Drosophila melanogaster: one gene and its partners. The protein of the gene in region 1 interacts with the protein of each later gene in a pairwise test. Each region holds a gene or a part of one and is shown in the gene's direction. Other genes may lie near its edges.

The links. Proteins that work in one complex are often made in the same cells at the same time.
Region 2: the proteins of CG4198 (region 1) and CG14818 interact in a two-hybrid assay, tested with the Drosophila melanogaster proteins (one large-scale study listed by BioGRID).
Region 3: the proteins of CG4198 (region 1) and CG17230 interact in a two-hybrid assay, tested with the Drosophila melanogaster proteins (one large-scale study listed by BioGRID).

Annotation. Positions count from the first base shown.
Region 1 is NC_004354.4:5,311,632-5,315,700, forward strand, and holds CG4198 (uncharacterized protein), read left to right. Parts: upstream 1-1,626; 5' UTR 1,627-1,801; coding exon 1,802-2,514; intron 2,515-2,580; coding exon 2,581-3,301; 3' UTR 3,302-3,559; downstream 3,560-4,069. Other genes in the region: TrxT (thioredoxin T), read right to left, coding at 1-80; dhd (deadhead), read left to right, coding at 829-1,152; CG15930 (uncharacterized protein), read right to left, coding at 3,827-4,069.
Region 2 is NC_004354.4:1,878,519-1,881,775, reverse strand, and holds CG14818 (uncharacterized protein), read left to right. Parts: upstream 1-2,001; 5' UTR 2,002-2,120; intron 2,121-2,195; exon of another isoform or gene 2,196-2,217; 5' UTR 2,218-2,285; coding exon 2,286-2,364; intron 2,365-2,425; coding exon 2,426-2,637; 3' UTR 2,638-2,757; downstream 2,758-3,257. Other genes in the region: Coa8 (cytochrome c oxidase assembly factor 8), read right to left, coding at 541-756, 830-1,093, 1,153-1,203; CG14805 (uncharacterized protein), read right to left, coding at 2,772-3,257.
Region 3 is NT_033777.3:11,435,804-11,440,784, forward strand, and holds the start of CG17230 (uncharacterized protein), read left to right. Parts: upstream 1-1,981; 5' UTR 1,982-2,077; coding exon of another isoform or gene 2,078-2,278; 5' UTR 2,279-2,296; intron 2,297-2,339; coding exon of another isoform or gene 2,340-2,562; intron 2,563-2,620; coding exon of another isoform or gene 2,621-2,883; intron 2,884-2,976; coding exon of another isoform or gene 2,977-3,084; intron 3,085-4,081; coding exon of another isoform or gene 4,082-4,832; intron 4,833-4,981. Other genes in the region: CG5281 (uncharacterized protein), read left to right, coding at 377-1,420; sals (sarcomere length short), read right to left, coding at 2,078-2,278, 2,340-2,562, 2,621-2,883, 2,977-3,084, 4,082-4,832.

The DNA of each region.
Region 1 (4,069 bases):
AAATCAATTACCACCAGCTTGTCCTCGGCGAGGATTAGCTGCTGGTCAAGATCGTCCTTGTTCCGCACTGGGTACACCATGACTTTAACTAAATTCCAAACGGATTGCAAATCGAAACGAAACAAAAAAAAAAAAAAATGGGAAGAGAAGAAAGAAAAAAAAAAGGAAAATGTTAGAAAATCTTGTTTTGGGTGTAAAATTCACTTGATTTGTTTTGTTACTTTTGAATTTTAATGGAGCTCTGCCCTCGCCGAGATATCAGCCCGAAATGAAAATTGTAGGGCGGCAGGCGTTCTTTTATACAGTTTTCGCCAAATATTTTGCGGCCTTCTTGGATTGAAAAAAAAGTGTTTTCAAATGTCAGCGGCGCGGTGTGTTGAGGTGAGTTTGGCTTCGAACCTACCACGGCTATGGCAACACTCGAGGAAAATATTAGTACTATGTCGTGTGACGCCATTATTTTGCCATAATTACGATAATAATATTCATATCGATATCGATAGACCTGCCGTGGTGAATAAGTATGTTCCCCACCCCCCAACACACTCGGTTGGCTTTCCCAACGACCTGGCAACCCTAACACGCCCGCCATTTTGCACTCTCCATGGGCCGCCATTTTGTTTAGCGGCCACGCGAGAATTCAGCATGCAAATTGGCGGGAATTCCACTCTACACACCGCCACTTGGAGACCCCTATAAAGTCGCCTACGCAGCCGCCATTTCAATCAGTTCACAATTTGCAGCGAAAGCGCCAACAGCCCCATCACGTCAAGTTCTTTAATTTAAAAAAAAGAAGAAAAACACTTTGCTAATCCTCGCGACATAAAAATGGCATCCGTACGCACCATGAACGACTATCACAAGCGCATCGAGGCGGCCGACGACAAGCTAATCGTGCTGGATTTCTATGCGACATGGTGTGGTCCCTGCAAGGAAATGGAGAGCACCGTCAAATCGCTGGCCAGAAAATACTCCAGCAAGGCGGTGGTGCTCAAGATCGATGTGGACAAATTCGAGGAGCTGACGGAGCGCTACAAGGTGCGCAGCATGCCAACGTTTGTCTTTTTGCGCCAAAATCGACGCTTGGCCTCCTTTGCCGGCGCCGACGAGCACAAGCTGACCAACATGATGGCCAAGCTGGTGAAGGCGTAAGCAGCAATCCTGCCCAGCAATTAGCAATCAGCAGCGCATCTTTTTTTTTTTACTTATTTAACTCATCTTTTAAACATGTTCGCCTCATTTGTGTTCGTTTATGTATTCGATGTTATGTGTATGCTCATGTGATGTTTAGCTTGTAAGCGCGAGATGTGGGTAGCAGGAGATGCAGTGCAGCCAACAGCAGTGACCAGATGATATATGCTATGCTACTACTACTACTTATATGCTATGATTTGTGGCGCGGAGGCGTGTCTGCGACACATAATCCCGCCCATTTAGCTTTAAGATTCAGGCACTAAGAAGCAATTCGATCAATAAATTATTGTAACCACTCTGGACATTTAAATGTTAACATGGAATCAGCTTTGTTTTTTTTTTGCCCACAGCATTTGGATTGTTAACCAAGTAGGCGCTGCGTGGTCATGTCATTTCGGGTTCCAGCAACATTTGGCATTTGCTAACCAAACTTGAGATCACACACACGAAAAACAAAAAATCCCAAACATTCCGCAGCACAAATTCAATCAAATCCAAAACGCACATTTCGGTCGCATCCAAATTGTACGGATTTCGTTAGTAAATAAAAATCAAATTTCGTGTAAATCCAATCCATAATCCGTGGTAGAGTAGAAACCACACCATCATGTCGTATCAGATCAAATCGACGCCCTACTTTCGTCGCATGTTCAACGAGAGCAAGAAGAATGGCCAACTGCAGCGTCTGCGTGATGAGTACGAGCGCATCCAGGAGTTCAACGATCGCACCATCGAAATGAAGATGCGACAGGTGCGATTAAAGCGGCTATTTCGCGAGATCGAGGTAATTAAGGTGGCTGGCGGGGCGGCCGGTGGCGCCAGCGGTGGCGGCACATCGACGGCATCATCGCCATCGAATGTTGACCAATCGTTTGGTTTAGCCGGCGGACGCGTTACCCGCCGGAGACGGCAACAGGCACACGGTGCTATCACGCTGGCTAGCAGCACGCCCCAGCAGCGGATGCACAAACAGCGCATAGAGACGCTGGCACGCGCACGCCAACTGGGCCAGGAGATCTCGCGTCGGAATGGCCTAATGGCCGAGGCCGGCACCGGCGGTTTCCTGCGCAGCGAACTCCGGATGACGGCCAAGCTGCAGGCGGCGAACGATGCACGCCGGGCGGCCGTGGAGCGTCGCGACTTGGCCGCCAAGCGCATCTCCTATGGCAACGATCAGTCGCGACAGAATATCCAACGCATGCTCATCCAACGCCAGCGCAGACATGAACAGCAGCAAGCGTTGGCGGCGACAGTAGCATCACCGGCGGCACCGTCATCCAATTCCTACCAGGTGTCCATAGCGCAGCAGCCGGTCACAAGGTATGTAAATCTTCTAGAGAATTGTGGGGTTATGTTCACCTTTGTTTGTTTTTTTGTTTTGGCCAGCAGGCCCAGGCATGAATACACGGACAATTGCCAACAACAGCAGGAACTGCTGGCGGTGACCAGTGAGCGATCGACGGAGCAGGGCGATCATTTGCAGATGGAATGCGAGGGGCAGTCGTACTCGGAGCAAAGCTTCCATTCGAACGACTGTCTGGCGCAATCGATGGACGAGGATCTGGATGGTGAGGAGGAGCTGGAATACACACGCCATCGGCGTGATGGCGACGCGGATGAGGAGCCGGAGCGGCAGTCCTGCCTGGTGACGCTGAACAAGGAAAGATCCACATTGGCAGCCACATCACCGCTGGATATGCGTCGAGTCAAAAGCTCCATTGATTCGTATCGAAAGACGCACCTATCTCCGCTGGCCAGCGGCAGCAATTGGGTTCGGGTTGTTGGTGGCGCCCAATCGTCCACCATTGGATCGCATCAGCCAAGTGGAACGGTGCCGCCGCCGCTAAACGATGAACTGCAGCTGGATTCGCAGTCCAATTCGAGTAGGTGGCATGAGGTCTCAATGATGCTGTCGTGGTTCGGCGCCGCTTCCGACATCCCAACCGACTATGCCGATGCTCCGCCACCCGAGGTGCCCAGTCACTACGATTGCGATTCCATTAGCAATGCGGACGATATGCCAACGCCAACTGTGTGCCGTCGACAGCGCATGTTCGCCGAGCAGCCGAGTGATGCTGCCACACAGGCGCAGGAGGAGCCCTTCTAGCCAGCCGACGAGCGGCAGACGCACTGCAGCACACATCTATTTTTTTTACTGCAATTCGGTATGGAAATCCAAACCATCCAACCAACCAACCAGGCAAGTCTGCAGCGCCTGCAAAGTTCACTTATTTGGCATGCTACGCTAGTTTTGGCTTAGAATTCCCGGCCCATCCTGTCCAGAAGTTGTGCACGTGCACTTGGCTGGCAACCTTTTCGCATCTTTATTTGGTAATAAAATTATGGGTATGGTATTACATTTCACAAATAATAATAAAAAAAAAAAAAGAAAAAAAAAAACAAACAGCAATTTCATGTTCAAGTTACACTTTTCAAATGATGCAGTTCATCCCTGAGATAAATGATTGGCAAACATGCCAGCTTGATGATTTATGTATGTTCCGTCGTCTGGTTTTGTCCTGTTTTCATCATTCCTGCTCCTGCTTCTGCTTCTGCTCCTGGTTGCCCACTAGAAGTGCGTCATTCATTTTTATTTTGAAATGGATTCAGCGCCTTGGGCACATGGTAATCCCTATGGAACGAATGCGAAATCATCATCATCATCATCATCATCATCATAATCGTGCAGCGGCATAATTAGCGGCTCGACCATCCCAAAAGGCTGCAGTTCGGGCGCATAGCAACAGGACTCCAACTTGATCCGCGACTCGATTAGATCGTTGATGGTGGGCACAAAAGTTTCATCATACGATAGCCGCATAGAGAATATACCCTGAGCGGTATCCAGTTCGCCGACATGGGCATACAATACCCT
Region 2 (3,257 bases), 3.4 Mb from region 1:
ATGTTACTGCTAGGACACGACCACCCCTGTAATGTATTTCGGACCCCCTCTCCTCACACAGTCGCTGGAGCACCTAATTTTATTTGTTTTAGCACCATCTCCACATTCATCACTACCACCATTGCAATTATCGCGAGGAAACTGACCGCCCCGATGGCCAACCCAAAACTTGACTTTATGCGTGTGTGCCTTCCCCTCTGTTTACCATTATTATTATTATCATAATTGTAGCGGTTATCTTTCAATATTCGGCCACTTTACATGGGGAGCGATCCTTCTTTCGCTGCGTGTATCGTGCGCAACCTTCTTTGAATATATACACTGATAAGGATATGAACACCTACTTCTATTTTATTTTATTTAAATAGTTTGCGATTACTTTTAAGTACATTAACTAACTCCGAACAACGTGTATTTTTCATCCCCTTAAATAGTAGCTAAGTAAATTTTATGCCACCATTTTACGCACGTGATCTTTTATTCCAACTTATTGCAAACGGCAAACTGGAAATTACGAAATGGGGACGACAGATATTGCACCTAAGATCTTCGCTTGGCCAGCGCCAGAAGCCTCTGGAGCTGGACTGCGGCAGCCAGGGTGAGTATGTCGAAGTTCTTCAGGTACCAGGAGATGTTGTACATGATGTGGATGCGCCAGTTCTTGTCGAGGAACGCTTTGTAGAAGTGGCTCATCTGGTCCGCGGACACTTCGCTGGTTCCGCTTTCCTTGTGCAGGCGGATGAAGTCTTCCTTTTCCTGTAAACGAACCAATTCGAAAGAGACGACATTAGCGGACTAGAAAGAGATGGCACAGTGGTCGTGGTTGTACCTCGTAGAAGCGCTTATTGTGTTTTGTCCAGAAGTCCGTGTTCCATGCCTCCACCTCGATCCGCTTAAGACGCAGGCTTCTTGCCAGCCGCGTCTCCTCATCGCCGTAGTGCCGTACGTACGGACGTAGGTTTGATTGCGCGTCTGGCGGTCCTATATAGTCGCACTTCACCGTCTTGGGATCGGGCTTGTGTGGCAAACCGACGACGGGTTTTTCTTGTGGCGGTGGACATCCCGGCTGCACTGCGGCATAGCACCGCGGTAGCTGTGTAAACAAGAAATTGAAAATCCGAATCCTATAAGGCAACACACTCATGGACTCACGCTGAACTGGAAAAGCGATATCCGGGGCTGGCACCTAAAACATTTGTTCATTTTTCGGTTATGTTATGTGAGGTGCAGTGTGGCCGACTGTCACGCTAGGCAACAGATTAAATATTGATGCCAGCAAATATTACGGGCATTCGCATGCGATTCTCGACTGAATATCTGGAGTTCAGAAACCAGTAGCCAGTAGCCAGCCAGCTGATACATGTCGACAAAATCAAGAAACAGTTTCTTTTTCCAAAATGGTCGCATATTGCATGTTTCCAGTCGCAATTGAACCAATAGGAATGCAGCCTTGTGAACAGTTAGACCAAAGCTTAAGCAAGAGTATCAGAAGAGATGTGAACCCCTCTTGTTTCCCTGTTCGTGACACGCAATCGGCACGTCATGCTCGAGCAAATACCAAAATCCCTAGTAATTTGCTTGCGTTGTGAAAATAAAACGATATACATGCACATCTCTAAAAACAACGTAGAAACAGAGGCTAGTACACTTTCTGTTTATTATGCTCGCCTCATGATTGCAACAAGAAATCTACTGTCGCAATTCGATGCTTCAAAATTATTTCGGTCAAAATGGGCAAGATTATCGACTGTAGACACCAGGCGAACAGAAAACGTTGGAGTACGACCGCTGATCGCTCTGAGAAATTAAACAGCCGTTCATTGTCAGAAGGGGTCAACTCTGGCCAATCAACATTAAGCACTATGGGAAAGAACCGTTCGATTAAGTCCAGTCAACGCCTAGAGATACGTAAACCATTTGTTTCATTGTTCGTGTCACGAATTAGGCACGACATATGCGAATAAGCCAAAATTTCCCATGCTATTCCATTGGTACGTAAAAATAAAACGAGGCACGGGCACATCCCTAAAAACTAAGTGGAAACTTAGCTTTGGACTTTTGCAGTGGATTATGTTCGCCTAGTGTTTTGAGCTAAAAAGTGTTTTCGTAATTACAAAAACGTACGTATGTACTGAATTCCCCTATTAAGTTTTTTTTTTTATATCGTATTTGAACTGAGACCTATCGTTCTCTTCTAACCACCTCTATCGTTTATAGCTATCCCGTGACAATAAATCCAACTGGAAAAAACAAACGGAAAAACTCCGGGGAAAATTCCAGGGAAAATGTCACCCAAAAACAATCATGATCCCTCGTCGTCCGGCGACTCTGGCAACACCAATGTCCAGGAGGCGGACCTCCAAGGTGAGTTTTGACAGCGCCCCGTTTCTGCTCGGGATTGGCTCTAATGGAATGACCCCTACAGAGATGGAGGACGTGAACAACAGTCTGGACGCTCTCAGCTGTGCCCTGGACGCCGTGGAGCAGCGCACAGACGACATTATGTCCCAACTACGGGAGCTGCTGAACTCCAACCGAGAGATCCGTCGCCTGATTGCCGAGGAAAATGACAACGCTCCCGAATCGGGAGATGACAACATGGACGGGCAGGCGGGCAGCGAAGCGGCACCCAAGTAGATCCCTCTACGAGAAGTTATTGTTTTGTTCATCCAAATCGTTTTTAGGCACAATCAGTGCTGTTTTTTTTCTATTATCATGTATTTTTGTCCTAAGTCCTAAGTAAACGTAATTGAAAGCAAGCTTAAGGTTCACTATGTCTTCCGCGCTTTCTTGCGCTTTGTCTTCTCTGTGATTTCAGCCTGGCCATTGGTATCGCTAGTAATATACTTGAAAGCTATCTGGAACAAGCGCATTGACTGCGCTTTGAGGCGCGCATTCTCGGCCTGCAGCTCTTGCACTCTTTCGTCGCTTGTCTGTGCTGAGTCTGGCTGATATTCTGCATACGATTTTTCGGACTCAGCTTCCTTGGAGGCGGTTTCCATTGGCTCGGATTCAGGTTCTTCTTCTTCGACCTCGGAATCCTCGACATCTGTAGCTTTGGTTTCCGCCTCAATTCCTTCGTCGTCCTCGTTCTTTCCCGAACTCATGGACGCTATAAGTTTGAGTATTATCTCCTCATCCGTACCCGGATGACTTTGGGTGTAGTCCAGCTCCGGTGTCTTGCGTCCCCCGGAGTAGTCCGGATCGAAGAGCTCGATACAGTCATTCTCATCCCACGGACTAATCATTCGCTTTAG
Region 3 (4,981 bases), on another chromosome or scaffold:
TTTAAAAAGGTGGCATTGTTGGCTGGACTAAGATCTTCGGGGTGGCAATACTGGCCCACAGGGTTTTCCGGAATCTCCATTCGCGAAAAGAATTAAAAATGTTTAATTAAACGCAGTCGGAGCGTGCAAACAATGAATAAAACTCAGTGAAACTGGCGGCGGGGAAACGATGTGCCATTGAAAACGCAGAAAAGGCGGCAGCAGACAGTGACACAGCGCGTAAATAAGGAAGGCAATCGAAAGAAATCGATTTTTCAGGGCAGGTGGGCTACCATTAGACTCCCCACACTCATGCACACATATTGATGCAAATCCCATTTGCAGGATGCTGAAACTTTGAAGGAATCCAGAAACTGTAGAGAAGAAACCCCACAGAATGCCGGAAAACCTCGAGCTTCAGCAGTTCCAGGAGGGCGCCCCGCCCCCAGATCCCGCCCCCCGTTGGCTGGAGCGCTTGCAGCGACGATTGGGCGCCGATTGTCCCTACTTGGGTATCCTGCTGGCCACGCTCTCCTCGCTCTTCTTCTCCCTGTGCTCGGTGATTGTGAAGGGACTGGTGGACGTGAACCCCATGGAGCTGGCCTCGTTTCGATTCGTCGGAGTCCTGTTGCCGGCACTGCCCATCCTGATATACACGCGACAGCCGGTGTTTCCGGAGGGCAAGAGGGTGATACTGCTGCTGCGCTGCTTCATGGGCACAACGGGTCTGATGCTCAGCTTCTATGCCTTCCGACACATGCCCCTGGCCGATGCGAGTGTCATCATCTTCTCCACGCCCGTTTTCGTGGCCATATTTGCGCGTGCCTTCCTCAAGGAGCCGTGTACGCTGTTCAATGTCCTGACCATCAATATGACATTGCTCGGCGTGGTCCTCATCACGCGCCCACCCTTTGTGTTCGGTGACACGGCGGAGAGTGAGGATGTCGCTGGGAAGACGTACGACATCTGGGGACCAGTGGCCGCCATATCATCCACACTCTTCGGAGCCAATGTGTACATCCTGCTGCGGGCGCTCAAAAACCTGCACTTCTCCGTCATCATGACGAATTTCGGTACCATCGCTCTGGTCTACACACTGATCGTTTGCGCATCTATTGGAGCTGTGTGCTGGCCAAGCTGCGGACGGGATCGTTGGCTGGTCGTTGTACTGGGCGTATTCAGCTTCCTGGGCCAGATCCTGCTCACGCTATCGCTGCAGATCGAACAGGCCGGACCAGTGGCCATTGCTCGCTGCGCCGACATCGTCTTCGCCTTCGTCTGGCAGATGCTCTTCTTCGGAGAGACGCCCACCGCTTACTCGCTGGTGGGTGCGGTGATGGTGATGGGATCTGTGGTTCTGACGGCCCTGAAGAAATGGGCAGGCACCCTGCCACGCGAGTCGTCGCTGCGGAAGCGATTCAGGCTCATCCTGCTGGAATAGTGTGGTTCCAGAGCAACTAAAAGAGTTCGCGGTTTCTCCCTCGTCTTGTCACATCGTTCTCACCCAATCCCGGCAAGCATCAGTGGCCGGCAGCAAACCCGGTTCATTCATCGTAGACTCTACTTATATCAAGGCTCAGATCGTAGATTAATCAAAATATATAAGAAGGGACGCGTGATATCCACTCCACTCATAAGTAAATACTCGTAGTGCGTGTTTAGTTTAGCCAATTTCGCCGATTTGTTGTTTTGTACATTGTTATACATGCTTAAAATACGGTAATAAATACAACTTATGAATAAAATAAAAACAAGTTATAATTTGCATTTGAATTTCACGCTCTTCTACATGCAAATTTGCACTACATTTTTATATAATTCATTTAAATAGTTATAAATAAACAATAAAATTTCAAATCTACAGCGACACAACATTTTACATTACTTTGTAAAAATTCCGTTACATGTAGAATACAGACGGCGCGACATCGATACATACATCGACATCATACATCGATTGCAGAATTAATTTTACATCCACCTCTAGTTTTTCGTTTGTTTGTTTGTTTATTATTGTTTATGTTTATATTCTCGAAGCACACACACTCGAAAAAACAGAGCAAGGAACGGAAACAGAAACGGAAGACAAGCTGAGGGACTAGAAGCCCAAATCGGCAATAACCGCGTCCAGTTCGTCCTGCAGATTGGTGGCCCGCGATCGCACCTGCACAATTTGATCCTGCAAATTGTCGACGTTCGCCTGGAGCAGCACATTGCACTTCTTCATCGCCGCGAACCGGCTCTCGTGCTTCTTCACGCGCGGCTCCACATTCGCCTTCTTCGCGGAGTTGGGCGAGTCCTGCGGAATACGGTACAGGTGAGCTGGCTAAATAGTTTACGATTCTCTGGGGCTAACTCACCTCTGGCTCGGACTCGCTGCCCGTCTCCGCCTCACTTTCCTCCGATTCGGACTCCTCGGACTCGTCGTCGGATTCCTCCTCTTCTTCGCTGGCGTGCTCCTCCTCGGCCTCCTCTTCGTCCTCGTCCTTCTCCTCGCCGTCCACATCGTCTTCGTCTAGCTTCATGGAGGCAGCCATCTTCTGCACCTCCTTCTCCAGCTTCTTAAACTTCTTGTTCTCCTCCCTGTCATCCAGAGTTGTTTCCAGTTTAAGAACAATACTACATTACAATTTGTACTCACTTGAGGATACTCTGGTTCTTCTTCATGGCTTGCTTGAGGGCGTCCTTCTCCTTCTTGGCCGCCTCCTCTTTGACCTTCAGTTTGGTAAGCTTGCTACGCAGGATCTTGAGCTCCTTGCCAGAGCGACGCTCCCTGCGCTCCACCTTCTTCTCCTCCGGCTCGTCAGGATCGCTTTCGCTGACCTCAGGCTCCAGTTCCGGCGAGCTATCCCTTCCAAAGTTTGCATCGCTTGGTCGACGCGATCCGTCCAAGGATCCACCGCCCTGCAGCCGCAGTTAATGCAAAACGGAAAACGGGAAAGAAGGGATACACACATTGGATTAGTGAGGGCATCCTTGAGCGGGGCCTGATTTTACCTGATGCCGTGCTGCATGGTAGTGGTCGTAGTGGAAGCAATCGTCGTAGTCGTCGTCGTCGTAAGCAAAGCAATTACTAATGTGCGGTCTGTTAGTGCTTGGTGTCGCCTTTGCAAGAGAGCGTGAACGGGTTAATCGGTTAGTTGCCGCGGAGTGCAATAGCAAAGCTTTCAGGGGGATAGGAATCGGGACCGGACGTGTCCTAGACGGGTCATAACACCGCTTTGGTCTGGGCGGAAGCAGAATGCGGGTGGCGGGAGTCTTTCATGCAGCATGCGTCCGGCAGTTGGAGTTTAAGGTCGTCTACACACGAGATCTTCGGACATTGTTTATACCTCTCGTTTCGTTTTGATAAAGATTACATTTTTTAATGTCTACCATGGCATGGCCAGGTCCATTATTTGCTTAAAGAAAAATTCTGGAACCTTTTGAGCATTTCCCCAGAAACTTGATTTTGTTTTGTCTGGAATTGTGTGCAAGCAAACAGATAGCACAGGTAAGGGATGAAGGCACCTTACTTGAAAAGTATGGCTTCCGAAATTTAATACAAATTGAGCTTTGATAAAATATGGTCAGTTTTGAATTTCATTTTTCGCTTTCTCTTGATAATAATTTTACTATTCAACTTGTCTGATTCCTTCTCAACAGCAAGCTGTCTGCTGGCTTCAATCAGATTTCTGGTATTTTAAGTCTCGTGTGCAAACCGTTTTTAAGAAGGAAGAAAACAAGGTGTATCCACGGGTAATCCTTTCCCAGACCCATTCCACATTTGTGTCAAGTGTTGTCAGCTGATCTGTTTCTCTGGCTACAGTGGCTACTAGGGACAACTAACGAGGGATCTAAGGCGGAGTCTACGAATTGCGGTGGCTTCGTTAGCTGCTCCCGTCTACTTGCCGCCCTCAGCGGACGCAGCGAGGCGACGCCGGCGACACTAAAAACAAGAAAGAAGGACTAGCTTCGGAGTCCGATGCTTTGCATACCCTTGGAGATAGTTATGTTGTAAATGGTTGTAATCCAAAATCCTAATCTCAACTGACAACACTTTGAGCAGCATCCCATTACCTACATATACATATTACCGAACCCGTTCTGCAAAAGGAATTACCTGAAGAGCTGCTGCCAACTTGCGTTCGAGCAACTGAATCTGGCGGCGCTGCTCCTCGATCTCCGTCTTGGCCTCCACCAGCTGCTCGGCGGTGCTCTGATAGTTTTGCTCCACCTCCTTGGACACCTTCCGTGCGTCCTCTACCTCGCGCTTCAGGGAGTTGACGTAGGTCTGTTCGGCGGTGGGCGTAGGATCCATGGTGGCCACAATCACATTGGATCCGTACTCGAGATTCTTTTCGCGTGACTTCTCGCGTTCCAGTTCGGTCTCTAGGGTGCGGATTTTGGCCAGCAGCTTCTTGTTCTCGCGATCCTGCGCCTCACGGTTTCGCAACTCCAGTGCCAGCATTTGTTTGGTGCTCTGCAGATCGTCGCGGATCTTGTCGATGTCGTCCAGCTCGTCGGGGCTTTCCTCGTCGATGGACATAGCCGATACGATGCTGGGCCGGGATCCTCCGGCTCCCAAGGCCGTGGCACTGCCCGGTCCGAGTGCATGGCTGCTAGGCGCCTCGCTGAGCATGTTGATCTTCGACTGCGACTTCTGCAACTGCTCCTCGATGGTCATCTGTCGGCGGAACTTGCGCAGACCGTCCAGCACCGGCTTGCTGCGATCGTTGGTCTTCGTTGGCTTCAACTTGATGCCGCCCTGGATCTGCTTGAGCAGCTTGTTGTGCGAGTTGCCCTTCTCCGTCTCGTAGATGAACTTGTCGTCCAATTTGGTTATCGACTTGCACGTCAGGATGGGCTGAGATCTATTAGGATTTGAATTGTTATAAAAGAGATTTTTGAACATTTTCGTGCAGAGTTATCTATTATTTGGCTGCTGGTACTTCTGCACACTTAAAATTTAAGTAAAAGTCATTAACATTTGCCGGATAAAGTGGCGTAAACGCAGTAAGAT